4 linked regions of the Struthio camelus genome follow. The main gene of each other region encodes a partner of the protein of the gene in region 3 in a complex. Links are inferred from orthologs where the notes say so. Each region holds a gene or a part of one and is shown on either strand. Other genes may lie near its edges.

Region 1 (7,391 bases), on a different chromosome or scaffold from region 3:
AGGGTAGCAGTATTTTCCCTTACTAAAATGTATTTTGCCTGATAAAGCAAATCTTTACTGTCACAATTAAAACAGTAATAGTTAAAAGTAACACAAACGCCTAATTCTTACAAGATATGAAGAAGAAAACATGATTAAAAATGAATCTGCCTTTGAAGTTTATACTTAGGTACATAGAAAGCCCATTCTAAAGCCCATGGCTGTTAAGTGCTGCTTTTCAATTACTGAATTCACAATCAGCTGGAAAATATTTATAATTTGAAAGTGCAGAAAATGAAATATAGCTATAAAATATAGCAGAGTCTGTCACTTTAATCATTCACTGCAGATTGTAGAAACACAAAAACTGCTGTTATTATTAGCTTAGTGATTTCAACCACCTTTGAAAAAAACCAATGCTTTTTAGATTTAATACAAAGAAAAAAATATGAGGAACAATATAGAACAAAACTGCAAAGTAAGCATGGTGTATACCTATTCCAAGTATGAAAATAATTTTATAGCCAAATGATAAATAAATCACACTACAAAAAAACTACAGACAAATTAATTTTGCAGATATTTTTGCTTATCATTGAACAATTGCCTCTCCAAGGGCTTTGCCCGTCTTATTTCCACCACTATTCCTCTGCAAAACATACAACGTACCAAATTCACCGGTGAGTTCACCACTCTATATTTACCTCTATTTACTCAGCAAAAATATCTATCTTAGCAAGTCCTATGACAGCGCTGTTATTTCCAACATATTTCCAAGTTAGAATTACATAACCTTTGACATAGCGCATTAAAGCAACTTGTGTAAATATAGCCCATTAATCGACAAGGGTAAGAACAAGGGTGTTTGCTCTGTATAATCTCACCTTAAAATAGGAGAGAGTTAATCGCACAAATTCAGCAACCACAGTACCCCGATCTGAATAAATTCAGTTGTCATTGAGGTGCATCTGTTCAGTGGTATTTCTGCATGATCAACTTTCATCTTTTCTGTGTTAGCCAATATAAGACAATGTTTCCAGGAATGACAAAAAAAATCACACTTGGGAACAGTCAATTCCAGCCATCGAGAATAGCCAGAAAAACAAAATCATGGAGCCAAAGCTTCCAAGAATTTACTGGGCACCTTTCTGAAAAATCATCTAATTTGCTGTCCTCTAATATTTTGTCTTTATTTATAAATGTTTTTTTCTCCAATTCATCAAGCTATTGCTGTCTTCACAATAGCTATATTTTGTTATCTGTCATAGAGATGTTTTCTATCCCAAACACATCACAAAGCACGCATCTCAGGAAAATTTCATTAACCCCTAAAGAAAAAAAGTCAAATCTATATCGTAATGAAGGAGAACATACACAATTTGTTCAATGTTACATGGTAGTGACAAGCCCCCCTATCCGATTAAGATCGCTATGGAAACTGAATTGATAGACTATAATTGCATCCTTCAGAATTTTAATGAACTAAATCTCATATTTTTCCACTATTGCAAAAACTAAATGTAATCTTCAGTGACTAGAAACAAATGGAATCAGACTTTTAAATTAGATCAGTCATCATAGTGGGATACCTTGGGTTTTACTAGTAGGTTTCTCACTTAAATATTTATAGGTATCACTCACTTAAATATTTATAGGTATCACTTCTTCTTCAGAGCTGAGAAAGGTTTAAATCATAATTATACAGCAAAGTAACAGTAAAGAATCTGTCCCTATTTACTAATGATGGATGTGATACCAAAAAGGAGCCCATTTTTATTCATGAAAGTTATTTAAGTGGCATTGGCTGTCAGCTTTCTTAAAAGCCTTATTATTACCACATAAACACCTATGAATCAGCGTATCGAAAGTATTACTAGAGCCACTGCAGCTTTCTAGCTGTTTAGACGTACCTGCAACAAACTTGTGTCCACACTACTTTAAAAGAACATTTAAAAGCGCTGATGCTATCTATCCATTGAATTGTGCACGAGTAACATACCAGAAAACTTTAGTTTCTGAGTAGTCGTCATTTTTTCCAGAACTCTCGGGACCTTTCGTTAGTTAGAAGGTTGAATTAAAATCCGTCCCTGCCCTAACGGCAAAACTATGGATTTCAGTTTCCTATAAAGCAGTACATCTCACTTGATTACTTCGTACAGTTTTAAGTCTCTGCCTTATCACAGATTACAATTACAAAAATGAGTTCTCGGTAACAGACCACGCTTAGGTATTTATTTCCGGAACGCTGTTTCTCTTTGCCTAGAGGAATAACGGAAAACAACAGAGATATCAAGGGCCACTAGAAGCATCCAGCACCAGGGGACTAACGCATGGGACCGGGGCGCCCCCCGCCCGCCCGCGCGAGCTCCGGCAGCTGCCGCGCGCGCCAACAGCTGCGTCGCGGCGCGCGCTGTAACGGCTGCCAACCCCCAGCCCGAGCCCCCCGCCCCCGGCAGGGGGAAGGGGAGAGGGATAGGGCGACTCCGAGGGGAGGGGGCTCGGGGGAGGGAGCAGCGGCGGGGAGGCGTGCCCCAGCCTACCCGCCTCTCCAGCAGCCGCGCACCGTAAACGGGCGGCGGCAGCGCCCAGGCGGGACCGCGGCCCTACGGCGGCCTTCCCGCCCACAGCGGGGGCACGGCCCGGCGTCGCCCCGCTCCCCCCCGCCCCCGCCCGGCAGCTCCTCAGCAGCGCGAGGGCATCACTCACTTTGGCCTGTCGGCTTCACGCTCGGCTCCGTCCTGCCGTTGTACTGCCTCCCCCCGTCACTGGTTTCTCCCTCATCCCGCGAGCTCCCCCCCTCGCAGTGCCTCGCAGTTGGTTTTGCCGAAAACAACTACAAGCTGCCAAGGAAACAGCGCGCATGCGTGCAGGAGGGCGGAACGGGGAGCCCGCACGGCTTGGGTTTCACGTCGGGTCGGATTAGGTGGGGCACCCACACGGCCCTTCTTGCCGGACAGGGGGCGTCGGCTGGACGGCAGCGGGGCGCATGCGTGGCGAGCTGCCGGAGCTCAGCGGAGCGCGCCTGCGCGGCGGGGGCAGGTGCTTCGACAGGCGTTTCGGCAGTTTGTGGGGCGCGCGGGGGGGCGGCGGTGTTCCTCGTGCGCATGCGCGAGGACGACTGGTGGGGGTGGGGCCGCCGTCGTGCGGGGCCGGGCAGCGTCCGTTTTCGCGTTTGGCGCCCCGAGGCGGCGGTGGCGGCGCGGCGCGGCGCGGCGCGGCTGGGCCTGGCCAGGAGCGCTCGGGCCGCTGCTGCCGCCCGCGCCGAGGCGCCGCCTGGAGGCGCCGCTTCCCGCGGTGTAGTGCCACTCGTCACGGCGCAGGGCGCTGCGGAGCCTCCCGGCCTCGCGGCAGTGCTCGGGCCGCCTGGCGGCAGGCGCTTCCCGCCGCCGGGTCCGCCGCAGGCTGCGGCCAGGCGGTGCCTGGCGGAGCTGGCAGGTGGCGGGGGCCGAGACAAGCCCTTCAGATAACATTCTCCGCCGCGGGAGTGCGCTGGCCCGGTTTGCACCCCGCCTTTGCTCGCTGCGCCTACGTGACTGCGTGTGGAAAATGGGAGAGAAATACTAATCATTTAAGAGCGATGTGCCTTGCACAGATCTCTTTATTAGACCAGGACAGTGTATTTTACAAAACAGAGAAAGGTCAGAAGCTTTCATTAGTTCTGCAGTTGCTCAGGCGTCCTGAGCCTGTTCGTAGCTTTGCGTTCTAATGGGTGACAGATTGATAAGCCCCTTCTTGAAAAACATAAAGTGGGAAGTTAAAACAGGAAAAAAAACCGTGGAAAGCTTTAATAACAGAGCAGTCCCGTAAAGATACCTTAAATTGTAGTTCATTTCAAAAGTCAAAACCCTTCTCTGGGCTCATACTAACAGTGAAAGTTATTTTAGAATAATAAAGTCTCTGGCTAGTAGATCTTTATTGCAATCGGGAGTTTTTCCGTGGACTGCAGAGCAAAGACATCTGCTCTTGCAAATGGCAGCACAGACGTATGTACTGAAGTTAGACAGATGCTTCAGAAACTTTTGTTTTCTCTGTGATTTAGTTGCTAATTTAAGCAATCTTTTGTTCTCTAGGTATAATTAAATACTGATGATTATCAAGACAGATTTGATCATTTCTTATTTGTAAGTGGATGTTGCAGGTTTCTTCAACGCTAGAGGGCTCACTGTTTTAGCTCCTGAAATCAATGCCGGTCTTGAATTAGCGTGACTGTATCTGTTCATAAGCCAAATCAGGCAAAATTAGTCTTCAGTTCACTTTCAGTTGACCATGTACCATTTGTATGACCTAGAGGTCAGTGAATGCTTGTGATACTGTGGTTGTGACATTCGCTGTTCTCAGGTATAACAGTTCCTAGAATTCTGTCAAGATACACCATCTGTGTCAAAAGAACATACGTCCTTCTTTGTTTGCTCCTCAAGATGCATTAATAGCAGAAGCTATTTTCTTTTTCCAGTTCTCTTCTGCCCTCCTCTTTCTCAAATGCATGCAAATGTTCAACTGGTAGGGGAATGAGGTATTAGCAGGACAACTATTGCCTCTCACGGTTCAGATAATTTCATTTTTGCTTATTACTGATATATAGGAATCCCTGTAATATGGAGCTTCTTGGTTACTAGTGACTGTCCCTATCGTTAAAATGAAAATATGGAAAACCAACCAAACTAGAACCAAATGTGGAAGTTAATCCTTTTTATATTTAAAGCTATGAGAAATTCTACCGATTCTACTGAAATTCTACTGACCACCTAATGGTCTCTGGGCTAGTCGTAAGCTAGATATCTCAGTCAGCGGCAGCCTTTATTTTGGCGTTGTGGTCCCAGGAAGTTCCAGCAAAGAATAGAAGCCTTCCATGCCACCTCTTCCATCCTACAGGTAAATTTCTACGTCTGTGGTCTAGCAGGATTCAGGAAAAAAGGAACCTAACAGTTTTTTCCAGACCTTGTATGTCCCAAACTCTGATGCAAATCCTAGCCCCAGCCTTCAATACAGAGTACGTGTCAAAATGGTCCCCCAAAAGAGAATACTGGTTGATGATTATTGTGATGTGTTTACTCTGTTCGACTAGCCGTACTTTATCTCCATGGTTTGTTTTAGGATCCAGCAGAAAAGTTACCTCTTCAAAACCTTTTTCCCTGAACCCGAACACCAATACCAATCTTAACACTTTGGTACAATCAGGAAACTCTATTATAATAGTGTCAAGAGACTTAAGAGTAGCCTCATAAGTATTTGCAAGCCAGCCATCTAAGTTTCTAACAAGCATCTAAGCATTATTAACAAGCCCTAGTCCGAACTTCAACCTTGGCTTCTAATACAGCTGCAAAAGGCTTTTAATACAGCTGTGAAACCTACTGAAACCTACTTCACCTCTGCCAGTAACTACCATTCTTGCAGTCTTGCTAATGTCCATCAATGCTCTCTTGAGTAAAAAAAAAAAGCATTCTTATAATAATGATTTTGATTTTTCTATAGGATGTTGACTATAGTGACAGAATTGTCAAAACCTACAGGGACTGTTCTTACCCTCTGTTTGCAGTAATTAACTAATATTCTAAATAACTTAGAATTGCTCTCCATTTGCATATTATATCATGGACATCTTGCAGGTCAGGGAGAGTGTTTATTAGTTTTCCTATTTCAATAGGAAATAGCTATTTCAATAGCTTCCTCAAGGGAAGGGACAGAGCTGTGGTAAAGATGTTTGTCTCTTACTAAAGCAACACCAGCTTACTTCTTTTAGAATGTCTTACCTTCTCACTGTAGAAGGATTGAAAGGTAACTTAAAATGCATTATCAAGGGCAGCAGAACATTCTGTCCTTCAGATTTGACAGCAGGTGCTGCTTTATTGGCTGCATTTGTAGGCAGTACTGAGTATAATAATCGTTGACTTTTGCTAACACCTGTCTTACCATAGCATTGTCAAGAGAGCGCTACTTGGCCCCGTTCAAAACTGTCAAGAACCATGCTGACAATTGAACAATGGGGGCAGTTGCATATGAGACCTCAAACCTTATTTAGTTTACCGGTTATTGTGGTTTAATTGCAGCTATTAATCAGGATCTGCGATTAGAGAATATGAGAATGGGGCCTACATGGTTTCTGCTCCAAACTTCTACCATAGCTCTGTTTCTGCCACTTCTGGACTTTTAGCTTCTAAATATAGCCTAAATATAAGTGTCTGATATTATCCAAAATAACCTTTGACACCCTGCTTGGCCTCCAGCTCTGTTTTGGATGTTTGATATTCTCTTGGCTTTTCCGAATTATATTCTAGTCAGGGGTCAAATAAAGGTTGTTGTTTTAACCCTAGTGTAGTTACTATACCTCCACAGGCTATGCTTAACTAACTTGGAACTGGGCTGCACTGCCTTTTCCAGTGCTTTATTAGAGCTTTGGCTGACACTTCTGCTGAGGCAGCTGTCCCTAGGACTGTGGCTAGTAGCCCTATGCCAAGTGTGTCAGACATGGTGTAACAACCTGTGCTGAAAACTAGATATATTCTTAAGAATCTGTTATAGGACAATGGTGAAGACAGACTCCCAAAAGCTTTCCACATACCATGTTCTACTGCAACCTTAGACCTCCCTTGCAAAGGTTCGCAGTTACCTGGTATAATGCCACACAAATGCTGTCCTTCCCCATAAACATAAGGCTACACACACTGCACATCTGCAGATATTCTAGAGCAGTCTGCCATGTGATACCAGTGCAGCACCTATCCTGGTGTCTGTCTCCAGGAGACATTTTTTATGAATCAGGATGTTTTGCCACTCACCAGTTCTCTAACGGAATCATTCCCATGTTACACAAATTAGTTTTGCTAATTTGCGAGGCATACTAAGTGAGAATTAATAAACAACAGCCCCTAAAATTTAACTCTTCAGCCAGGACTCGGCTTGCAGCAACAATAGCTGGATTCATATTTTAATGAGTTCAGTAATAAACAGTCTCAACCTCTCCAGCCAGAAACCTGAAAAAATTAAATGCTCACATAAACAAATTAGCTCAACAAAAAGTATCTTTTGAAGGGTGGGAAGAGACAGGGCATTTCAGAGGTAGACTACATAACATACAATACTTAGTTGTTCTCTCCTGGAGTGTACCTGTTACTCTTTCCTGCCTTCAGGGTAAGCGAAGGGTTGGGTGGCTAGCTCGTTCTGACTTCCAAAATGACCATCTCACTCATACTTAGTAAAACTTTAGGGTGATCTCTGCTTGTATCCCTGCTCGTAGCAAGAAGTGATCCGTACTACTGGTTACTGGTCTTGCTCCACCAGTGATGCTGGTTGCAATACTAATGCTAGTTCACTGGAGCTTTTTTTTTTTTTTTTAAAGCAAAGCTGCAAAGAGTATTTAGGTTTGCATCCCAGGGCTCCAAGCCTTACAACTGACAGTTTTCCTCATTTCATAA
Region 2 (7,694 bases), on a different chromosome or scaffold from region 3:
GAGATGAGTCTGTTAAAATTAGCAACTCTTTCTCAAACAAACCTTGTTCAAATCCAAGGATGACAAAAAAGGCAAGTTAGACAGCATTACTCCAAGCAAATAGTTAACAGGTTTTATGAAAGCTCTCTGAAGGACACTTTAGCTTCACCTCACTTAGTTCCTCAACTTTAGCTTCACCCATAAAACTCAAAACTATCTGTTTATGATACAAAATACGTGTACGTATGCACAAGTGAGTAGCTGGAGATACTTTTTTTTTTTTTTTTTTAAGAAGTTCTTCTTAGTCTTACTCACAAAGTCTTTAATTATTACCTTGTAAACTTCTGCAGCCTAGATGTAGACTCCGGAACAAACATAGGAATAGTTCTTATGTGCCTAAAACAAACATGAAAGGCACAGAAATTAAGAAATGAACCAAACAGCAATGGCAAGCCTCCTTATTTTTATTAAAGAGGCCAGAATTTCAGATACATTATATCACTGAACATCTCAGAGTAAAAATACTTTCCCATCCACAGAGGAAGGGCTTGCTTGCATAAGAAAGCTAGCACAGAGCAAACAAGTCACTTCAGAGTGCCATACATGCTGCTGCATCCTAGGAGTCCCAGAGATATAAATACAGAAGAGCATAGTAACTTACTCTACTTCCAGTGGCAGAAATGAAAGCTTAGCGCCTGCTGAGAGTGCTGGGGAAGAAGAACTGACATACTGCACTTCATACTTGGACTTTCTTCATACTAGTTTTGACTTTACGGAATTGCCTGCAGGATTACCAAAAATCATCTGATAACCAGGGGCTTCTACTAGAAGATCTATGCTGTTCATACCACTCTGATGACGTGACAAGGAGATAAGGGGACATTTTTGGCTCTGAAACAGCACAGATACTTAGAAATAAATTCCATTTTGATCCTGAAAGATGAGTAGGTCATCACCTCACCTTCCAGGTATAATGGGAACATGAACAGCTCCATAGCCTCTGACCACATCGTTTCCAAAAAAATCAGGTCCATAGACGCTTACTACAATCTGTGGCCCTGCAAAAGAAATGGAAGTCAGCAGGTTGCCTGGTCTGCGAGATGGGCCCCACCACCCCTGGGCACTCACAGCCGGATGGGTTTGTGCTCTTGAAGGTAATGTCGATGGGGAAGTTCCAGACGAGTGTAGAGTTTGCGGCATCGCTCTTGGAGGTGATCTGGGAGATGCCCTCCTCCAGGCCCTGCAGGGAGAGCGTGGCATGAGCCAAGGACCCCTGCCGGGCCCGTTTTACACAGGCCAGCAACGCAGCCCGCGTTTCAAGGGGACGTAAAAGGCTCTTACAGCAGTCGGAACCCAGTCCTGGCCGTAAACGAAGCAGAACTTGCAGTAGAGGTCATCAAACTCGGGGAACTGCGGGAGAGAGAAAGGCTGCGTTACTGGGGCTAGGGTTGGGGCCGAGCTACATTAGCGGGACCGAGGGCCAGCCTGTGTTACGAGGCTGAGGGAGCCGGCGCCAGCGGGGCCGAGAGCAGGCCGCGGTACCAGCACTGCGGCCAGTCCACTCCACGAAGCCAAGGTCCTCAGGCTCAGACCAAGCCCAGCTACCAGGGCCGGGGCCGGGGCTGAGGCCGGGCTGCGTTATGGGAACCGAGCGCCAACACACGTTTGCAGGACGAGGGCTGAGGCCGGGCTGCGTTATGCGAACCGAGCGCCAACACACTTTTGCGGGACGAGGGCTGAGGCCGGGCTGCGTTATGGGAACCGAGCGCCAACCCACGTTTGCAGGACGAGGGCTGAGGCCAGGCTGCGTTATGCGAACCGAGCGCCAACACACGTTAGCGGGACGAGGGCTGAGGCCGGGCTGCGTTATGGGAACCGAGCGCCAACACACGTTTGCAGGACGAGGGCTGAGGCCGGGCTGCGTTATGGGAACCGAGCGCCAACACACGTTTGCAGGACGAGGGCTGAGGCCGGGCTGCGTTATGGGAACCGAGCGCCAACCCACGTTAGCGGGACGAGGGCTGAGGCCGGGCTGCGTTATGGGAACCGAGCGCCAACACACGTTAGCGGGACGAGGGCTGAGGCCGGGCTGCGTTATGGGAACCGAGCGCCAACACACGTTAGCGGGACGAGGGCTGAGGCCGGGCTGCGTTATGGGAACCGAGCGCCAACCCACGTTTGCAGGACGAGGGCTGAGGCCAGGCTGCGTTATGCGAACCGAGCGCCAACACACGTTAGCGGGACGAGGGCTGAGGCCGGGCTGCGTTATGGGAACCGAGCGCCAACCCACGTTTGCAGGACGAGGGCTGAGGCCGGGCTGCGTTATGGGAACCGAGCGCCAACCCACGTTAGCGGGACGAGGGCTGAGGCCGGGCTGCGTTGCCGGGCCGGGGCGGGCCAAAGCCAGGCCACGGTGCCAGGACAGCGGCCAGGGCCGGGCCTGGGCCCTCAGCCGGCACCGAGCCCGGGGCCGGGCCTGCCTTACCGGGGCCGGGGGCTAGGCCGCGCCGCCGGTGCCGAGACCGGTCCGCGCTGCCCACGCCCCACAAGCCCATCGCGACCCCCCGGCCAGTCCCGCTCACCTGCCCGCTCTCGATCTGCCCGCTGACGGCCACCAGGAAGACGTCGGGGCTGCTGCTGCTGCTGCCGCTGCCGGCGGCGGCCGCCATGGCGCCGAGCGCGGCCTGGCTCGTTGCTGGGGGGGCGCGCGCGCCGCCGCCGTCGCCCTGGATACCGCGGACGGCGCGGCGCTGGGGACACGCTTCCTCGGCGGGCGGCGCTTCGCGGGGCCGCCGCTGGGGGGGGGGGGAGGAGGAGGAGGAGGAGGAGGAGGAGGAGGAGGAGGAGGGGGAGGGAGGCCCGGCCGTGGCTCGCCGCTTAACGGCGCTGCCCACCGCCCAAATTCAGCCCCCCGAAAGGCAGGCTACCCCCTGCCCTTCCCCGCCCTGCCGAGAGAGCCCGGCTGAGGCCTGCCGCTCTCATCACACCCGTGGCCCGGGGGGCGGGGAGGCCGCAGCGCCCCCCCCCCCCCCCCCCGGCCCTCGCCGTGCGATTCGTCGAGTTTCTCTAGATTTATGTGGTTTATGCTCATATTTTCCAGCCCGGTTGGAGCCCCGCGGCGGCCGCTAGGGGCGGCCTCGCGCCGGGAGGGTTTCCTTTATTTTTGTTTAATTTGAGATTTCTTTGGTTTGTTCCCCCCCCGCCCTGCTTTTTGCTTTTTTGGCATTCAGCAAACCAGACCAGATCGGGGTTGGGGCGGAGGGGGGGGCAGAAATCCCACCCTTTGGCCCCTGCCCCCCAGAAAAAAAAAAAAAAAAAAACAAAAAACCCGCTCTTTCCAAGGGAAAAATATCAGGAGGCGAAAATAAAGCGGCCCCTGACCAGCCGCCCCGGGCCGCCGAGTGACCAGCTACCGCCGCCCTCGCTCCGGGCCGACGCGGGGATGTTTTCACCCCCGGCCCGGCCCGCGCGGCGGCGGCCTGAGCCCGGAAAGGGCCGTGGGGGCTGCGGCCGGCGCCCCTCACCCTGCCTCTGGGCTCCTCCGGGCGCGGGGGGCTGCTGCTGGCCGTTGCCCCCACGCGGGCGCGCTGCGCCGGCCGGCCAGGCCCCCGAAAGCCGGTACTTTGTCACTGCCGCCTTCTCCGGTACCGGCAACGCCACCCCGGGGGCTGGTTCGGTGCCGCCCGCGGGCGCTCGGCCCAGCGGCAACGTTTTATTTATTTATTTATTTTTAAATCCCAAATATTTACGATCAAGCCCTGCTCAAACGGCCAGGGAGATACGTTTTATGGTGTCGTTAATCCGCAATAAAAAACAAAAACCACCCAACGGCTTTGTTTTCAGGCTGTTTGCACAAGGAGGCCGGTCTGAGCCATCGCCGCCTGCTTCTCCTCGAGGTGCGGCCAGCGTCCTGCCCTTCAGGCGCCTCCTGCTGCTCTTGCCGCCCGCCGCCCCCCGACCGATGGCCGGAGCGCACGGACTACTGCTCAAATTCTTGCTAAAATATACTTGCCCCGAGATTTCTTTCGCTGGGGGGGGGGGGGGGGGACCCAGCACTTCCCCCTTCATTAGGCCGGGTAATTAGCAGGTGGGCGCTGGCCGCCTGCCCTTGGCGCTCCGGCCGGCGAGCCGCGCAGCGCCCGGTCTTGCACGAAGAATTAACTCGTATGGCAACGTGTTACCGTCCGTGAGATGTATTTATTTATTTTGCTGAATGAGGAAAATTAATTAGTGCCAGGTAGAATAACTCACACGCGGGCAGGAGAGGGTGAGGAAGCCTGGGGAAGCCGGCGGGGCGATCGGGTTCGGTACGGGCGTAAGGAACGACGAGCAATGAAGTTATTCCTGGGCCGCGGCGGGATTGCAACGGAGAGACCTGTCGAGCTGCTGGAAAAAAGCCCTGAGAGGGAGATTGCAGCCGCGCAGAGCGTGCTGAATGAGGCCCTGGCGGGATGCGCACAAATGTCTAATGAAGACCCCCCCCCCCCCGGCCGCCCCCATAAAGGAGCAGACAGGGCCCAGCCATCGAGGTACAGCCGTGTACTTAAAGCTTAATAGTGAAGGTTTAATGGATAAAGTCAATTTAATTACTCATCCTGTGAAAGCTCGTACAAATATCAAGTGCTTATTAGTATTCATGCCACCTGCATGGTCGCGCAACGATGACAGGTTAAAGGTTGTGTCGAACTGCACCTGGGATGGATTCAGATTTGGGGAACGGGCATCCCTGAAAGAGGAGGAAAAGTTTGTTACGGGAAAGACCTTGGGTAGGCTTTGAAGAACGGTTCTCTCAAGGAAACCACCACGGCCACGATTAAAAAAGGGCCAGGTTACAGCGAGGGCAGAGCAGCCGGCGCCGGAGGCGCTGCCGGGGCTGCACGCAAACCCCTGGCCGCCCTCCTGCCGGCGCAGCGGCCTCGCTGAGGCCAGAGCATTCGTTAGTTCCTTATTTCGGGTGTTTTCAAGCATCCCTCCCGCCCTGGCGCTGCCTGACCCGGCTCGGCGCAGACACCGAGCGGCCAGAGCCCGGCGCTCGCGGCACCGTCGCCGCCTCCCGGGCCCCGCGCTCAAATCGCTGCTTCGTCCTCCCGCGCCAGCCTTGGCCGATGCTCTGCTGCCCGGAGCCCCCGACGGCCCTGCGACCCTCCCCGGGGCGTCGAGCCGGTGAATCAGGCGCAGCAGCTCCCTCCTGGCCCCGCTCATCTGTGCAATGGCGAAAGCAGGGCTGGGGCTGGCGACGTCCGGGCTCAGGCTTCGGTGCACCATTTGGTGGGTTGTGACCAGCTGGGAACCTTCCATTTTTTGCAGAAATGCACCGAAATGCTAAAAGCAGCGGGCGGCACTCGGGCAGCGACGCCAGCCCCTTGCACCCCTCTCTGCCGCCTGCCAATAGCGATGCCGCGGCCGACGTAACGGGGCCCGTGCTGAAACCTCCCGCCCGGAGCTCGGCTGCCCTTAGGAAACCGCCACGGTGCCAGGGCCGGGCAGAAAACCGACATCTCTGCGAGCCAGAACTGCCGGGATATCGCCCCCGTGCCGAGTCCCTGATGCCGTAACCCTAGTTCACCGCCGCATCTAGGACAGGAGCGAAAACGCTTCGCGCCCGCCCGCAGCCAGCAGCCCGGTCTGGGGCTGGCGCGCTCCGTCGGCGAGCGAGCCCGCGGCACGTTTCGGGGGCGAGGGGCCGCGCGGAGCCGGCCGGCCGCCTCTGCACGGGCCGGGCCGGCGGTGGCCTGGCGGCTGCAGCGCGCACGGCTCCGCAGTTGCAGCTCCCAGAGGATGCTGGCGGTCAAAGGCGAAGACGCGGCTTGTTTCCCACGCTCGCGTCTGTGTCCTTCGAGCTAGCTCAGTCCCCCCCCAGCCCCCCGGGAGCCGGCGCGGCGGGAGGAGGCCGGTTCCCACAGCTGCGCCCGCCAGCGGCCGCGGCCGGGAGGGTCCCGAGGCCGCGGCGGCTCCCGGCACGCCGTGGCCGCCCCAGCGTGTGCACAGCAGGCGCCAGCCCGCTCCCCGGGCCCGACGTGCGGGGAAGACAGTCACGTCGGGCGAGACGCTCCTCCACATCCTCAGCTTTTCTCCGGAAAGCAGAGTGGGGCTTTGCAGCCAATAAACTGTGAATTAATAAAACAAAAAAAAAAGGAAAATAATCCACAGGGATGATGCACCGGCCACCGGTGAGGGCGCGCGCTGCCTGGCCGAGGGCTGGCGCCGGGCGCCGGCGTCGTTTGCCCCGGGCTCGTTAGGCTGCGCAGGGAGGTGTTGCCGCGTGCGGCTCCTCCGGGAGGAGGGCGCGGGGACAGGGCCGCCTGCGAGCGGCCCCCAGGGCCAGCTGGGCACGCGGAGGGGACAGCAGCGCTTCGGAAACGCCTTGTCCGTCCCACTCCTCCTGCTTGGCGGTAAAACGGGCCGATTTAGGATTTTTTTTTTTTTTTTGAAAGCCTCATAAAGACCAAGTTTTCCCCTTTGCAGCCAAAACCTTCTAACAGCAGCGGTTCCCGCCGCACACAGGCTTCGGGGCGCGGGCGAGGGCACGGGGGCCAGGGCGGACGCAGCACGGCTAAGGAGCTACGGCGCGGAGCAGCGGCGCGGCGAGGCCTCCCCCCGCCGCCGGCGGCCACTGCGTGCCCCAAGGCAGGGTGCTGAGCAGGCCGCTGAGCACACGGCGGCTGCCTCGCCGCCGGCCCGGGTGGGAGCTGCTGCGGGACCCCGCCAGGGCTCGGGGTGCCGCTGCTGCTGCTGCCGGGGCTCAGGGTGCTGCCGCCGCCACCAAGGCTCGGGGTGCTGCTGCCGCCGGGGCTCGGGGTGCCGCCGCTGCCAGGGCTCAGGGTGCTGCGCTGCTGCTGCCGGGGCTCGGGGTGCCGCCGCCACCAGGGCTCAGGGTGCCGCTGCCGCTGGGGCTCAGGGTGCCGCCGCTGCCACCAGGACTCGGGGTGCCGCTGCCGCCGGGGCTCAGGGTGCCGCCGCTGCCACCAGGGCTCGGGGTGCCGCTGCCGCCGGGGCTCAGGGTGCCGCCGCTGCCACCAGGGCTCGGGGTGCCAGCGGTAGCTCGCGCCGCGCCAGAAAGTCAAGCCACGCTTCCAGTTTATACAGTTTAATACATGTGAAACGAGATACATTTCCTTTTGAGTACTGAAGGCATAAATAACAGAAGATATATGTGAATGCATAAATATGAGGCGGCATGGAAGGAACCAAACCAAAACGATTTGGGGGAAAAAAAAAAAAGGTTTTTTTCTTTTTTTTTTTTTTTGCGTGCGTTTTGTGTTTTGTTTCTGTCTCTTCCGCGGGGCGGGCTGGCGGGGCGGCCGCTCGCACCGGGCAGCAGCTTTCCGCGGCGGAGCCGGGATGACGAGCGGGCCGGGGGAAGGAGGTGCGAGAGCGCAAATAAACCCCAAAAGCAAGGAAGAAAGAAAAAAAAAAGAAAGAAAAAAAAACCAAAAAACCCCCAAAAAACAAAAAAAGAAAAAAAAACAAAAAGAGAAGGAGCGGTGTGGACAGGTGACCTGAATTGCTCGAGCGGCTGCTCAGGCCGGCGCGGCCGCGGGGGCCGTCGGGAAGGCGGCGCGGCCGCGGCCGGGCGCAGGCGTGCGCGCAGGGACGATGAACGGAGAGGCCGCGGATGAGACGGTGCCTGGGGCCGCCTAGTTTTCGAAGGCGTTACGCTCCGAGGAGAACAAGCCACTAGCTTCAATGCTCACAAAGAACATCACCTAAGACAG
Region 3 (7,420 bases):
TTCTCTATAAAATACGACCTATTGTAGTTTAATGGTGACTGACTTTTGGTCAGTGTTAAAGTTGTTTTGAATGGTATCAAACTGAAAATACATATTCAGATCAAATAATGCACATACAAAACTGTTCCTCTTAGGATTTTCTTCTGTCTAATTTTAAAAATTTAAAGTAACAGAAATGATACCCCTTCTGAGGGAAGCTCTTTCACAATAGTAGCTCTAACTATTGAGCATCTTTTATTGCTAAAAACCTCCTAACACGAAAACCTGTCTGAGGTCAGCTAAAAGTCTTGTATGCGATGCGTTCAGAAGAAACACTTCACCAAAATGCTACAGATCATACAACAGCGGGAACAGCAGACATTCAGCCAACAAACAGCTTGATTAATTTATGAAGACCAGGCTGATTAAGCTAATCCTGCTCCGAGTTAGTTTAAACGCCCCAAATAAATTTAAACTGTCAAAACTGTCATCAAAAGGATGTCTGTCCATGAGCAGAACTTCTTTCATTGCCCTGCTGCAGAGAAACACGTTGACTTTGCCAGTTTGCTCACGAAGACTTGCATGTTAGTAACTTCATTCAGACTAGATATTGGTGCACTGTTCTGAAAACTGTCATATCTTTTGTCCCGAGGAACAGCAATAATTTCTTTAAAATTATTTTATGTTTAAATATTTTAAGGGGAAGGGTTATGGTGAAAGTTACATAGAAAAAAATAATCTTACTGATTTACTAAAATAAGCTTGGATAGAAAAACTGAAATGTAAGCAGTGCTTTTTGCTTAATCTTAGTGTTCTATTAAAGACATTGGGTTGCAAATGCCACACTATTATGTTTAAATGCACATCAAAATCTTGTTCCTTAAAATGTAACTGCAGTAACAATACAGTAAGTCCTTTAAAATGCTTTTAATAGACAGCAATCTACTGGGCCTTAAATTTTCATTTTTATAGGACCTCCTATATGAGGATCACAGTGTCCTGTTAATTATTAACTAACTCATGTTGATAGGATAAATTAAAAGCTCTGTGATGGAGAACATGTCTTATTTATTAATGTCCTGACCTTGTCCTACACGTTGCAGAGCTTGCGCTTTGGAACCTACTTCTCAAGACTAACACAGGTTTTTCTGTGGTGGTGAGATTTTTCAACTGTTTTCTCTTATAGTTGGTTTTTGTCTAGCCTTTCTTTTCTGTATGACAAAGTTTTGTTTTTCTATTGCCATTTTCTTTGTATCTGTTTCTGCATGGACCTAATTTACTGCATTCTGTTAATATGTAGATATCTCCAGAAAAGCTTCATGACTTTAATAAACTATTACATTTCATAATTTAGAAATTCAGAGTTACTCACTTAACAAAGCAATAATAAAGAGGAAACTGAAGCGACATCAGCACCTACGCTTGCCCTATTTTTTTTTTTTTTATTTAAATTATGGCCAGTATCGGAGATGGGGTTAGGTGAAATGTTGGTCTGACTGAGTAAACCCTTACTTCTGAAAAAACTGTCATGAAAGAACCTGATTCATTACGCTATACTTTGATATTGAACACTTTCCCATTTGCTCTATTCTATTTCAATGGTAGATGTGGTGAGAAATGGTATCTTCTTACTTATTCAGCTTCTGCGCACATGCGGTCAGAGTCCAATCTGTGCTTGGCACCAACTCACAGACTTCAGCACAGCCTGGGTTTCATCTAGGATCCTGTTCTGCTGTGTGCCATCAGCTTTGCAAGTCATTCCAGATGAAAAAAAATGTGTTAAATTCCATTGTCTCTTGCGCATTATCAACAGAGCAGAGCTCTTCACTGATTTCAAATCCATTAGAAATGTGTAAATTAACAAGCAGGGGTGCTGTGCTTCAATATTAATTATCTCATCTGATGGCAGTGCAGTTGCACAAGAGAAACAGAAGACAGTATATGACCTGTGATGATACTCAAAGAGGAAAACCATAAATTAAGCACCACTCTCCCTCCAAGCCCACAGACTAAATTCTAAGACACAAATTTTGCAGCAGGACTTATAGGTAGGAAAGACCTCTTCATTCTTGTTAATTGACCACATGTGGTAAATGGGAACTGATTAGTCAAGGAAATTCAAGGAATTGTAAACCCCCAAGTCAGCATTGTCCAGGGAGAGGTTTGATCTCAAACACATGACAGCGGAGGAGAGAGCAGCCACATGGTAGAAGGTTCCTTTCTACAGGAATGCCTCTCTCAGCTGGGACAACAAGCACCACAGCAATTAGAAAAACTTCAAAAATCTATTTTACTTTCCCCTCAAGCAAATGGGTGTGGAAGCTTCACAACAGTGACAGCAGAAAAGAGCTTCACTCTCCTTTCAGCAGGCAGGAAACCAAGCCTCCTTTACAGAGGAGGCCTAAGGCCTCCTTCTTCAAGCTGTAAGACTTCTAACTCTGGCTAGCTGAGAATAGGTCCTCAGTTGACATCTATTATCTATGCCTATCTGCTGTACTAAGCAGGGTCAAATACCTGTTTTTTTTTTTTTTTTTTTTTTTTTTTTAAGGAGACCATGTAACCTTCCCTTCCCTCCCACCCCCTGCACATAGTCTCCACTGTGGCTGCAGCCAGTCCTGGCACAGCCTAAATGAGAAGCAAAAAAGTACTCCTGCAATGCCATTTTTATATACACTCCCTTTCTAAAACAGAACTGTAGGTGAAGTCACTGCTATTCTTCAAGCCTGAAAAAGGAAAAAAAAAAAAAAAAAACCCCACCCCAAAACCCAGTAACATAATTTTGGAGACCTTGTTGAAGGGAAACACATGAATGTTTCCAGCTGAATCAAACTAAGGTAATCTCAGAATCAGCAAAGAAACAAACTACATCAGTTCTCCTGCTTCTAGGAAGGAGGCAAATACAGTAACTTTAGGTTATACTTGTTTTAACAGAAGGATTGTAGAATGGCGACTCAGGTCAGACAGTTATTGCATATAAGGTACCCTGAGATTTTAGGTCCAATGGAGTACACCAGATTCTCACCTTCATGTCACCACGTCCTTAGTGCACTGATGACTTTCCAAGAGGAAGGATGACTCGATGCCAACTGATATGGAGCTATTTCAAAGCCATCCTCGTAACTGGCAGTTGTTACCAGCTGTGCTATGTGATACAATCAAAATGACCTTGGTAGCCCTGTACCTTGTGCGGCAGACAATAGCCTGTCTCTCATAATTCAGCAACACTTTTGTCAATAATTGGCTTTTGTACAGTCCCAGTGGAGCAGCAGAAACCTCAGCAGGCTAAAGAGATTAATTAACTCACCTCATCTCCTCTTCAGATGTGGTCGGTCCAGGCCAGGCATGACACACTCGGGCAGAGGACAGAAATGGCAAAGATGCTGTATGCGCTGTGGAATTATTTCAGTTTTCAATAGAAGAACCTGGAACCTCTCCAGCACACTAAATTTGCATGCAAACATGAAGTTAACCTGTTCAGGTGTTGTGACTGGCACTGAGAGCGGTCAAATACGTTAAATGCAAAACAGAACACGCCCTCTTGTGGTCCCGAAGCTTTCAGTGGCTTCCCTTCAAGATGATAGGAACGAGCCTAAAAAGAAAAATAAGAAACTCTGTAATGATGCACTGTGCGCTTTGATGCGGGAGCAAACATTGCAAAGCCGCTTTAGATCAGATAATGCAAAAGACAAATCTCAGAAAGTTTAACTTTAAAAAGCGCACGTTGATTCCTGCTTAGACCCAAGGCCTGGATGCTAATATTTGTGAGCTAACTCTAAGGAACCCTGATCATTTAGTCACTCTGTAGCTCAATTTCCCCAACTATCAAGTTGGTATAAAAATGCTTGTATATACTGCAGAGGTACTATCAAGATAAATGAATATGTGCATATGAATATGAATGAATATGCGCATTAAAGACCAAAAGAACCTGCAGCTTTTTCAAAAGAAAAAAACCCAAGATGAATACTTTTAAAATTACAGTTTAAGAAACACAGAATTATTTTTTAAAAAGTTGCATAAACATACAAATTGTAAGATTTTATACCTCACAAGGGGGGGGGGGCCCTCTTTTTTTTTTTTTTTTTGCATATGGTTTTCCAGTAGTGCCCAGCCTCCCTGTGCGGAGCGAGATCTCGCAGGGCGCACGGGGGCAGCGGCGGTGGCTCTGTCAGGCCAGGGTCGGGGCTGGGGTCAGCCTCCCCTCACGGCCCGCCACAGCACCCAGGGTGCGCCGGCCTGTCCCGTGGGGCCTGGGGCAGCCCCCCTCCCACGGCGCCCGGGGGCTCGGGCCTGGCCTCTCTCCCGTGATGCCCCGGGGCCTGGCCTCTCTCCCGTGATGCCCCGGGCTCCAGGTTGGCCTCTCTCCCCTATGATGCTCCAGGGATCCCTCCCATGATGCCCCGGGGCTGCGGGCGGGTTTTCCCGTCCCTCCCGTGATGCTCCGCGCTCCCCTAGCAACCGCGCGGATGGCGGGGGGGAGGAGCGGTGCCCGCCCGTTGCTAGGGGCGGCCATGGCGGCGCTGCGGCTCGCGTTCCTCCTCCTCCTCCTCCTCCTCCTGGCGCAGCCCCGCGGCCCCCTGCCCCGCGCTGGCGCGGTGGCTCCCGCGGCGCCCCCGCAGCCCCCCACTGCTGCCCGCAGGCCGGCCCCGGTGACGGACGGTGGGTGCCCGGGCCGGGCGGGGGCTGGGCGGCTCCCCCGGGCCGGGCCGGCCCCAGGCCTGCGGGGAGACCCTGCGTGCGCGTGGGGCTGGGCATGGCCCGCCCGAGCCCCTCATTCGGCCCTGGACCCTATAGATAATATTCTGTCACAGCTGTGCCCTCGGCAAGCCTTTCCCGCTTCTTCCAGTCAGCGGATAGGTTCAGCTTTTGATTTCCCAGTGTTGCCTCCCTCCGTTCCGTTTCGCTAGATCACCTGCGGAATTAAACGCGTCCTAGCGTGTGCCTCCTTAGGGAAGGGAGGCTTAAACCCCTGCTGTGTTTAAACTTACCTTGTTTACAACAAGGTGAGCAGAAGACTCCAATCCTAAATTCAGCTGACAGAACAGTCAGAACTTCAGAAATTCCAAGAACTGGCTGGATACGGTTCATGGTGGGCAGAGAGCTTCTGGAGGGCCACAGGGAAGTGTGTTAACAGTCAAACTGAAAGGAAAGAAGTGGTAGTTACGAGGTTAAATATTCATTCGTGTCCGGCCTATGCAGTGCTGATCTTCATTTTCTACATTTTATGCTGCCCTTAAATCTAGATTAATACAGAACAGCCACTTTCAAAACCAGTTAAGTAAATTAATATCTGTTCTCTGAATTTGTAAACCTGGGAACAGAAGAATATTTTAAGAAGCTGCTAAATTTATATTGTCAAGACAGTTCACCATATTGCTGGTGATTACTTCCTTATTATTGCAATATTCACAGTATCCGAAGACACAGAGAAAAAGCAACTGTAAAGAAATTAACTCTAGTTATATTGCAACATCAGGGAAACATTACTGTATCCTGGGACACGTCTGATACTTCTAAACTTCTCATTGCTGTAGGATAACCCTTCTCTCCTTTCATCTTCCCCCCCATCCCCCCCAGCTGAAACAAACCTAGCGTTGCTCCATTATTTGTATCTTTTTTCTCAGCAGTACTACATAACGTTTTAATACCTTCAGCATTCCTATTAACTCCAATTGCTTTTTTGATTTCACAGGGAACACAGGATCAGATTTATAGTATGCCTTGGAAAAGATAACTTTTTAAAATGACTTGTTAAAAAAAAAAAAGTGAATTTGGATGTAGACTTTTGACCATTGTCAAAATTAGGCAAGGTGAAAAATTAAAGTGTTTGAGTACATATTGTAATGTGTTTAGATTTGATTCTAACACTAATTTAAATCTTTTTCTCCAGTTGCCAAGCTGTGTGTTTGTGATCTGTTGGTGGCGCAGTGTGATGTAAATTGCTGCTGTGACCCTGACTGCAGTGCAGCAGATTTCAGTCTCTTTACTACATGTTCAGTTCCTATTGTCACGTAAGTGAATAAATGGTTTTCTGAAATACAAACTCCTGTCCTGTTTGCTGCGTGCATTTGTAAGGGCTCTATCCTGTCCTCTTACAAATCCCTAACCCATCCATCCTGACTACCTTTTCAGCAGTCCCTCCTGCATTAGGCATGCAGTCCTTCCTTCCCCAGCAGGTAGGAGAAAAGCAAATTGGCACCTGACTCCAGTTTCTCATTCCCTGTTTTCCAGACCTGTGCTCCTTGCTTTTCCCCATTCCACTGTCCTACTGTACGTGGGCATTAGCTTCTTTAGAGGGAAGAATAATGTATCTTTAGACTTTTATCAATATAACACAGTGTCTGGAAGCTAAGAAAGCTGGTACCATGGGACAATTTGACCATGTGGGTCATCAGCAATTTATCAGTAACCTCTTTCATTGGTGTTTATTGCATCAGATAGAAACATGATTGATTCAGGTCTGTAGTGAAATACTCGGAGAATCACTCTGGTATTAATTTTATGAGCAAGTACGCAACTTGCTGTCTCACTGCCATTGTCACTTCACAAACAAAGTAAAATGTAACATAACTATCAGCATTATGTTCTTGATTATTGTTTCTTTGCTACTTACAGTCTATCTGAAAATACATTTACCCAGATTTCATCTTCTCAAGTAGAAGCTAAAGTTAATTTCAGAATCTTAATGTAAAAATCTCTTGGTGACTTCTCAGAACAATAAGTATAGCTCTTCAACCTACCTTCTGCATAAATTATGCCAATCTGGAAACTGGAGTTTATTCTCAGTGCTTTGAAATTTCAATTAGCAGTCATCCTCTACTGCCATTCCTTATTGTTCTTGCACACAATGACTACTGCTCCCCATTTATAGGTATTTATATATATCAGAAAGGTCTAATCAACACCTTCCTGAATGACAGTTTAATTATCTCAGGTGACTAGTCTGTCTTTGCCAACTAGAAATGCAGAAAATCAAGTTGTATCTTTTTTCCTAAATTCTTTCCTGTAAGATTTTCATTTTGCATGAAAATCCATGGTATTTTCAATGACTACAAGTGTTCTGGATCTCATTATTTACTTATAGATTTATATACATTTGAATAATTGTAATGGTTACTAACGGGGTTTTGACCACAAGTTAGAGGTTATGTGGTCTGTAAAATGCAGAAAACGGGGGTGTTTTATTTAGGATATGATCCTATTAAGAAATGGTTCACCTCCTGAAAAAGTTTAGCTCCATGCATAAGAAGTTGTTCCTAAAACTCATTTTGCTTTATCACTTTCTATCCCTGACTGTTTTAACTCGCTCTGCCATAAGCACCAGTTTGCCAGGAATCAACATGCTAGAAATACATGAAGGTGAAGGCACTGGTACAGCCACATTGGATCGTTATTTCATCTCCCGGTTTCTCACCTTGTCCTTTCTTATACATGCATCTGA
Region 4 (7,366 bases), on a different chromosome or scaffold from region 3:
TCAACTGTGCCACACTGAACTGTTGAAATGAAACAGACTGATCGTAAAGTGAGGGGAACACCCTCAATTCTTGGGAGTCCTTGAATGATGCACAAGTCCATCTCAATATTACTGTACGTGTCCATTCTTCTGAAGTCCACCTGCTTTTAAAGTTCACAACAAGAGTATGCTACTCACCATTCCAGCATTGCACTTAAGGGTACACAGTGAAGACAATTGCATGAAAGAGCAAAAAGAGTCAACAAGGAGATATTTCAGTGACTACTTCAATTTACAAAGTAGAGTTCACTATTTTCCCTAAATGCATACTGCCTTTCAAATATAAGAATCACTTAACAAACTAACTTCCATGCATCCCAGTTTTTTAAATTATCATCTAGTGTCATATATACATAGAACGCTACTCTCTCAGAGCAACGACAAGCCTCCAGACAAATGGCTGCATCCCTTCAGAAAAAAAGCCCAAGACCTTGATGACAAGTATCTGAGAATATTCCTTGGACAAAACTCTTGCTCAATAACAAGTGTCATGACACACTAATGAATGAAGATTTCTGATGCACAGTTATCTGTTGATCACAGTAACTAATCGCTCCTCCTGAGCTTACAAAACAAGTCGGAGAAGCCCCAGTTTTTTAACTGATTCTATGTTGCTTCTAGGTCAGCACTGTATAAACACAAACTGAAGACAACTGCCTGTTTGATAACTGCAATGAAGATCATCAGCTCTCCGCATCTTTATAATCGATCTTCTCAACAGATATGGTAGCAGTGCCAACAAGCAAGGAGAGAACTCAAGGGCAGAATTTTTGTACAGAACCTTCGTTTCTTGGAAAATCAAATCCGCTGGCCTGCTATTTCATGATGTATGAAACCTGTAGCATTTCTGAATTTTGCAACTCTGTATTCCTATCCCAATTTTTACCCAGCATTCAGAACCAGATATCCTCAGTACTTCTTAGGTGGTAAACGTCAAGTCCTCCACGACGGCCCACGGATACAGAATACAAATTGCAGTGCTCAAACAAGACACACCGATTCAAGATCATAACGTGATATTTAAGAAGTCCATAAACAAAAATACCAAAAATACAAGTTCGGATAATAGGCTTTAACTAGCTGTGCATTAAGCAACGAAGAAGCGAAAGCCAACACAGACAACCAGTGCAACTGTTTAAATGAATGACCTAAAAGTGACTTTTAGGATGAAAATATCTCACAAGACAAAAACCAGATCATCAACTGAGCAAGGCCTTCAAAGAACAAGTGTTTAGATAATAAACAGATGGCCTCATGCCAACACTTTAAAAGCACAGAAAAGTGCACACTAATGCTTTAGGAAATTCTGTATTTAAGCTGAGCTAACTAGAAAGTCGTACTGTGCCTGCCTACACTTCCACAGCCTTTGCAGAGCACATTGCAAATGCTATTAAAACTTCATACCACCTCACTGAAAAAAAAAAGCCTTCAAATATTTCATGAAAATAGGACTGCACTAGACTAGCACTTTTACTACCGGATAGAAAGATTACACAATCTGTATGCAATGAAGCCAACAGGAACACCCACAGAAATACCAGAAGCATAAAACTGAATTTTGATGAATATGTGAGTTAAGAATATGCTGGGTCAGGGAAGGATTGTTTATTCTAATCTTCTCCAAAACAAGCCTCAATAGTCAAAGTAAGTCACTGGGAGTGAAAGCCTCCAACACCGCTGAAGGCAGACGGGAGGGTGCCCTGCAGCTGGGCGGCCGCAGGGCCGGTTCCGAGCGCTGCTCCTCGGCGAGAGGCCGCTGGGAAGCCCCGGAGCAGCGGCGCGGCCGGCCGCACCGGCGGAAACGCGCCCCGCCGCCGAGCGGGCGAGGCCGAGGCGCGGGGAGCGGCGGAGAGGCCGCCTGTGACCCGACTCCGCGCAGAACGAGCGCGGCCTCCCCGCGGCACCGGGATGGGGGCACTAGGGAGCGAAGGGCGAAAGCCGCCAGCCGGGACGAGGGGCCTCAGCGCGGGCAACCGCCGCGCAGCCGCTCCGCCGGCGCGCACCCCGCGCCCTCGGCTACGCAGAGCCCTAGGGAAGCCAGGCGCCCTCCCGCGCGCCATCCACCCACCGGACACGCCGCCGGGACAGGCTCAGCACCGAGCCCCGCAGCTCCCAGCGCAGCACCGCCAAGATGGCGTCCTCCTTCTTCCCCCCGCAACAAGCAGGCCGGGGCCGAACTGCGCCTGCGCGACCCCCTCCCCTCCGACCCTACGGCTGAACTTGCACGAATCCTTCCGGGCCCCGCCGGCCGCGCGGCGCGGCGCGGCGCCGAGCGCCACCCTGCGCTCGTGCGCATGCTCGGCGCGCACGCGGTTTCCCCCCTCTCCGAACCGCCTCCGGGAGGCGGGGCCGGGAACGCCCTGTCCCTACCGCGCTTTCCGCTGCGCATGCGCTGTCTGGCTCCCCGCTCGTTTCAGTACGCATGCGCTCTGCGTAGGCGCGCCGCTGACGCGTGCAGCGTCGCGTGGTCACGGCGGCGGGATGTGCGGGGGCCGCTTTGCGAGCAGTGCGCATGCGCCGCCGGGGCGCCCCGCGGGACAGCGTTGGCGGCGCGCGCCGCCGAGGAGAACGGTGTCGTCCGCGCCGCGGTGACAGCGGGCGGTGGCGGCTGCGCTGATCGCTAGGGTTACGGCTGTTTGCAGCGACCTTCAGCCTCTCGCTTCCGTCAGTTCCGGCGCCTGCCCGGTTCAGGAAAAGGGGCGAGGGGGAAGTCCCTGCGAGGGCTGTGGGCCCCGAGGCTGAGAGCCGCTGGGAGCCGCCTCAGGCCTGGGCCTGGGCCTGCGGGCGCCTCTGGCACCGGAGAGGGGGTGTTGCACCCTGTGCTTCTGTTCCTAGGCGGTTCCCAAAGCTCAGGGGCCAATTGTTAGAAAAACAGTTTCCAACCTAAACTTTCTCGAGGTTGGCTCCAAGCGTGCGTTGGGAGAAATGGGAGGAAGGGAGAAGTAAGTAAGGGGTAAGACTGTCCATGCAGAAGGGGAGAGGCAGGCTACTTTCATCATTAAGGTTAGATAGTATTTTATCCATGCAGTGTTCATCTCACCTCCCTTTCCCTGTGTTTTAGACGTATTCCCTTATATTTCTAGACAGCAGTTCTATTGCTAGTCAGCTCCATTCTGATAGACTAAAAAAGCTTGGGGTAGATTCACACCCCCCCCCCCTTGGTCATCCTGGTAGCCCTTATCTGTCTTTTCTGGGATCGATCTCTATCTGGAGCCTAGGAAGTAGAATATGAGAAAGTGCTTCTGATGGAGTCTTCCGCAGAGCCACATCCAAAGCACGCTTCTCTCTTCTCTGTGTCTTTTGGAAACACGTTTCCTGATTTAACAATACAATTACATAGCACTGGTGGTTTGGTTACACCATGAGTAACTAATAAAATGAGGTCCTTCTGTCCTTTCAAACTGAGTTTGGGGAATTGCATTCCATTATATCTTAGAAAATAGCTAGAAAGTAACTGACATGAGGCTGACCAGAAGTTGTGAAGCTGCCTTCTCTTGGCATCCAGAAGCTTGCTGGTTATCACAGTATTAACGATTTATGAAATCCCTCTTCACATGATATAGCTTAGAAGCAGTGGTTGGAAATCTCACAAAAATAGGGTTAAGATTCTTGAGAAATAATTTTACTGCAGGTATAAATGCTATTTTCTCTGGAAATAATGCTTATAACCCCACTTTCCTAGCTTCACTGCCTGGGTGCTTGGCACAGAGGGAGCTGCTGTCTTCTCCTTGACTGGAGATGTTTAAAAAAAGAACATACAACATAGGAATTATCTGCGATAGCTGTTCGCTATCTCTAGGAGAGATGTTATGAACAGGAACTGAAGCATAAAAAGTTTAAGCATAATCACCCAGTATCTCAGCCTTTAAAAAATTCCATCAACGCAGCAATACAAATCTGATTAGGAATGAAGCATTTGGTGCGATAAGCATATATGCTTCCAAGCAGCACTATTATACGGACTCAAAATAGTTATGCGGTTATCATTCAGTAAAGAGATAGTGAGGAATAATGAAAACCGAGGACGCTCGAGTACCCAGAAAAGTTTTGGTGATGCTTGGGGGAAAGTGAATAAGAGCAAGTGAAAAAAGGGGTAACTTTGGCTTTGTGTGCGTTCATCTGGGCATTCTGTATGATCGCTCTGCTACCCGTCTCCTTAAAAACGAAAACCACACGTTTGCACCACCTGACGCTGCTCTGCCGCACCGCCGATGCCCTGCCGCCCTCCCCGCTCCCCGGCGGAGGCACGTCCGGCGCAGGCGCGCCCTCTCCCCCGTGAACGCTTCGCCTCCGCGGTTGGGCCCTTCGGGCGCTCCGTACCAGAGGCGATTGGCCAGTGAGAGCGCGCGGCTGCAGCTGCTGGGTAGCCATGGCGACGGCGCGGTGGTGGGGCGCCGCCGCGCTGCTGCTCTCGCTGGCCGCGGGGCTCCCGCCGGGCCGCGGCTTCTCCTTCCCGCTGCGGCGGCCCGGCGGCTGCGGCGACGCCCGTTACTTCGACATCTCCCGCCTGGCCTGCGGGCCGTGTGGGCCCCACCAGAGGCCGAGCGCCGACGGTGAGCGATCCGCGCCGCAGGGGGGCGGGCGAGCGGGGCTCCTCGCGGCTGGAGGTGCCAAATCTGGGCTCAGATTTGGGCTGCTTTAGTTTGCAAAACGATTGTTCTCAGGTACGAGTCTGAAAAGCAGTGGAAAGGGTCAGACCTTCCAAAAGGCATAGGTGTCCGTAGCACAGATACGATATCTGTATTCTGTTATATATCCAAGAGCAATATATGTACACCTTTTCTCTAATCTTTCTTTCCTTAGGCATTTCTGTTGTTACAAATGCCCACTTTTTTATCAGTAAAATTCTATAGGTCCCTAAATTTCTCTTCTTGAGAGCTTCCAAAACTTGAAGCTTCTTGTCAAAACTCACATGTCTGAGAACTTAAATATCTGAGACTTTCAGGCTGTGCACAGATTAATCCGAGTCCCATGTGGGAATGTGGAGGATGCTACACGTATTGACAGTACTAAGTGAAAAATGTACTAAGTGAGCAATGTTCGCTTTCTTTAAGAGACATGAGTGTATGATAGTGTTCCGCTTTTATGAATACTCAGTTTTGGAAAAGTGGTAGTTTCAGTGGTGTATGTACATTAACAAATCAAACTAAGACCCAACAGCTTATTTCTTTGGAGCTGGTCCCTCGATTAAACGCAGTCATCTGGACAGCTGCGCTCCCTTATGTGAGGTTCTGGCCAATGAACTGTTGCATGCTCTGCTTCCTACGGCGTAGCTACAGCAAGAACGATGGGTTGTCCCTTGCCTTTGTCCCCACGCTGTGGGATACTCTTGGCTTGAGACTGTTGCATAAAAAAAGATGGTCACCTGTCCCACCACCTTTAATGATATCTTAAGATATCCATAAGAAACATACTGTAGCGGTTTTCAGTTGCATTGATCATATAGTTATCTAAATCCGTAAGTCCTTTAGGCTTGAATTTTCCTCTAACATCACTGTTCTGCTCGGGGCTTCAAGGAAACATATAAATTCCAAGGCTCAAGGATTCCATGAGCTCAAGGATTTAGACTTCTCCACAGCATCTTCTTAGAGCAGTTTAGGTTTAGATTATAAAACCTCACCAAATTTTATGTGAATGTTTACATGCACGTTTCTATGACCTTAAATAATAATAAACACACACTATAAAACAGAATTGACTCTAAGTACTAATAAAATGTCTTCGAACTTACAGAGAGGGATCCACAATATCTTGAGAGTAAAAAGTTACTGGAAAAAAATGCTATTGAGTGTAACAAGCGTCTGCTGTGGTGTGCCATGGTAATTGTGTTTACTTTAATAATAAACATTAGGTACGCTCTGTTACTCATTGGAAACTGATCCGGATGCACAGTTTTAAAAGCTTTGAATTTAAAATAGCTTTACAAACTACATTTATATTTTTGAAAAAATCTTCGCATATAAAGGTTATGTTTTGTTTTTCAGAGTGATTTCCTATTCGAAGGATTAAAAACTGAATACAGACATATGATGCTAATACTGTTGTCCAGAGGATGGGCTAAGTGAGTCAAGATTTGTACCAGTTATTAGATCAACTGGTATAGCTGAAGGAAGAACGCAAAGACACACACCTAGTATAGTTTTTCTCCCACTGTATCAGTCAACCTAATCTGATTTTCCCAAAACCTTTTCCTACAGTCTGTAACATCTACTTTTTTTAAAAAACAAGGCGATTTTCATGCACATGACACTCAAGTGTTTTATTTGTGTACCTAAGAAACTAAACTGATCTCTTAAGAAAAATAACAGCTCTATTATGTGGAAAAAACAGTTTTGATTTATGTAGTTTAAAAGGGAATTATTTTTTTCCAGGTCATTCATGTGTATGTCAGCCAGGATTCAGGATGGTTTCTAATAATGGTGGGCCCTCTGTTATTTGTGAAAAATGCCCGGAAAGTATGGTAAGCATTGAACTTTTCATAGTCTGCCATAATAATGCTTTTTTAAGTCTGGAACTTCCATCTAACTGCAAGTTATTTTTCTTTAATTTTAGATTATTTTGAAAATCAGTGAATTTTTAACCTTAAGACCATGTAGTATTTATTTTCCTCTTTAAAACTGTTTATTATTATTAATTTGCAGGGACCTTTTAATTATAAAATTGTGTTTTTAGGCAAAGTAAGAGTATTTTAAATGTTTAATTTCCTTCTGCTCCTTTTCTCTTCTGCTTCATGTTGTGTTACTCTTACCCTGAGACCACTTCTTTATAGAAAGCCAAAGATGAGTTTCAGTTTTTTAGTTTGTTTGTTTGTTTTTTTCCTTATCTTATTTGGTTATTTATATAAATCCTATTTTTGTAATATTTGGGCTGTATCTTCGTACCCTGTCATTTATCTTTTCACTTTAAAAGCAGCAGCTCATTTTGCGTTATTTTAGTTACACATACCTTTGTGATTTGCTCTGTTCTTTCTGCCTGTCTCGACAAAGTAAACTTAGTTTTCTCAGTATTCACAGCAGTGAGCCACAGGCACCAGACTTAACCAGCTTTCTCCCGCTATAGTAAATAGAGAAATAATATTTCTCTACCAAAAACAACTCTTGAAAGTAAGAGCCTTCCAAAGTACTTCTTTCTCTCCAGTAAGAAAAACTCTCAAGAGATCGACTTGAGCTGGGTTAGTGAGATGCTTAATGGCTGACTGGGTAACGTAACTAATCTCCTCCCTCTTTTCATCATCTTGTTGCTACTTTAGAAAGACTTTGAGGGATATCCGTTGGTGTTTTGATCTTTCTGCTATTTCTTTTTTTCCTATAATGCTGGCATTATCATT

Evidence for each region.
Region 1: TCTN1 (region 3) and AHI1 share a complex: the UniProt entries of both Homo sapiens proteins name them as parts of the tectonic-like complex. The link is inferred for Struthio camelus from reciprocal best matches to the Homo sapiens genes TCTN1 and AHI1.
Region 2: TCTN1 (region 3) and B9D1 share a complex: the UniProt entries of both Homo sapiens proteins name them as parts of the tectonic-like complex. The link is inferred for Struthio camelus from reciprocal best matches to the Homo sapiens genes TCTN1 and B9D1.
Region 4: TCTN1 (region 3) and TMEM67 share a complex: the UniProt entries of both Homo sapiens proteins name them as parts of the tectonic-like complex. The link is inferred for Struthio camelus from reciprocal best matches to the Homo sapiens genes TCTN1 and TMEM67.

What each region holds. Positions count from the first base shown.
Region 1 is NC_090944.1:73,414,671-73,422,061, forward strand, and holds the start of AHI1 (jouberin), read right to left. Parts: upstream 3,004-7,391; 5' UTR 2,686-3,003; intron 2,282-2,685; exon of another isoform or gene 1,979-2,281; intron 1,950-1,978; exon of another isoform or gene 864-1,949; intron 1-863. UniProt on the Homo sapiens protein: Involved in vesicle trafficking and required for ciliogenesis, formation of primary non-motile cilium, and recruitment of RAB8A to the basal body of primary cilium.
Region 2 is NC_090956.1:3,416,873-3,424,566, reverse strand, and holds the start of B9D1 (B9 domain-containing protein 1), read right to left. Parts: upstream 3,004-7,694; 5' UTR 2,649-3,003; coding exon 2,562-2,648; intron 1,390-2,561; coding exon 1,321-1,389; intron 1,220-1,320; coding exon 1,108-1,219; intron 1,038-1,107; coding exon 941-1,037; intron 376-940; coding exon 313-375; intron 1-312. UniProt on the Homo sapiens protein: Component of the tectonic-like complex, a complex localized at the transition zone of primary cilia and acting as a barrier that prevents diffusion of transmembrane proteins between the cilia and plasma membranes.
Region 3 is NC_090958.1:18,032,773-18,040,192, forward strand, and holds the start of TCTN1 (tectonic-1), read left to right. Parts: upstream 1-4,403; 5' UTR 4,404-4,415; coding exon 4,416-4,638; intron 4,639-4,967; exon of another isoform or gene 4,968-5,106; intron 5,107-5,869; coding exon 5,870-5,990; intron 5,991-7,420. UniProt on the Homo sapiens protein: Component of the tectonic-like complex, a complex localized at the transition zone of primary cilia and acting as a barrier that prevents diffusion of transmembrane proteins between the cilia and plasma membranes.
Region 4 is NC_090943.1:149,423,221-149,430,586, reverse strand, and holds the start of TMEM67 (meckelin), read left to right. Parts: upstream 1-4,363; 5' UTR 4,364-4,408; coding exon 4,409-4,592; intron 4,593-6,410; coding exon 6,411-6,499; intron 6,500-7,366. UniProt on the Homo sapiens protein: Required for ciliary structure and function. Part of the tectonic-like complex which is required for tissue-specific ciliogenesis and may regulate ciliary membrane composition.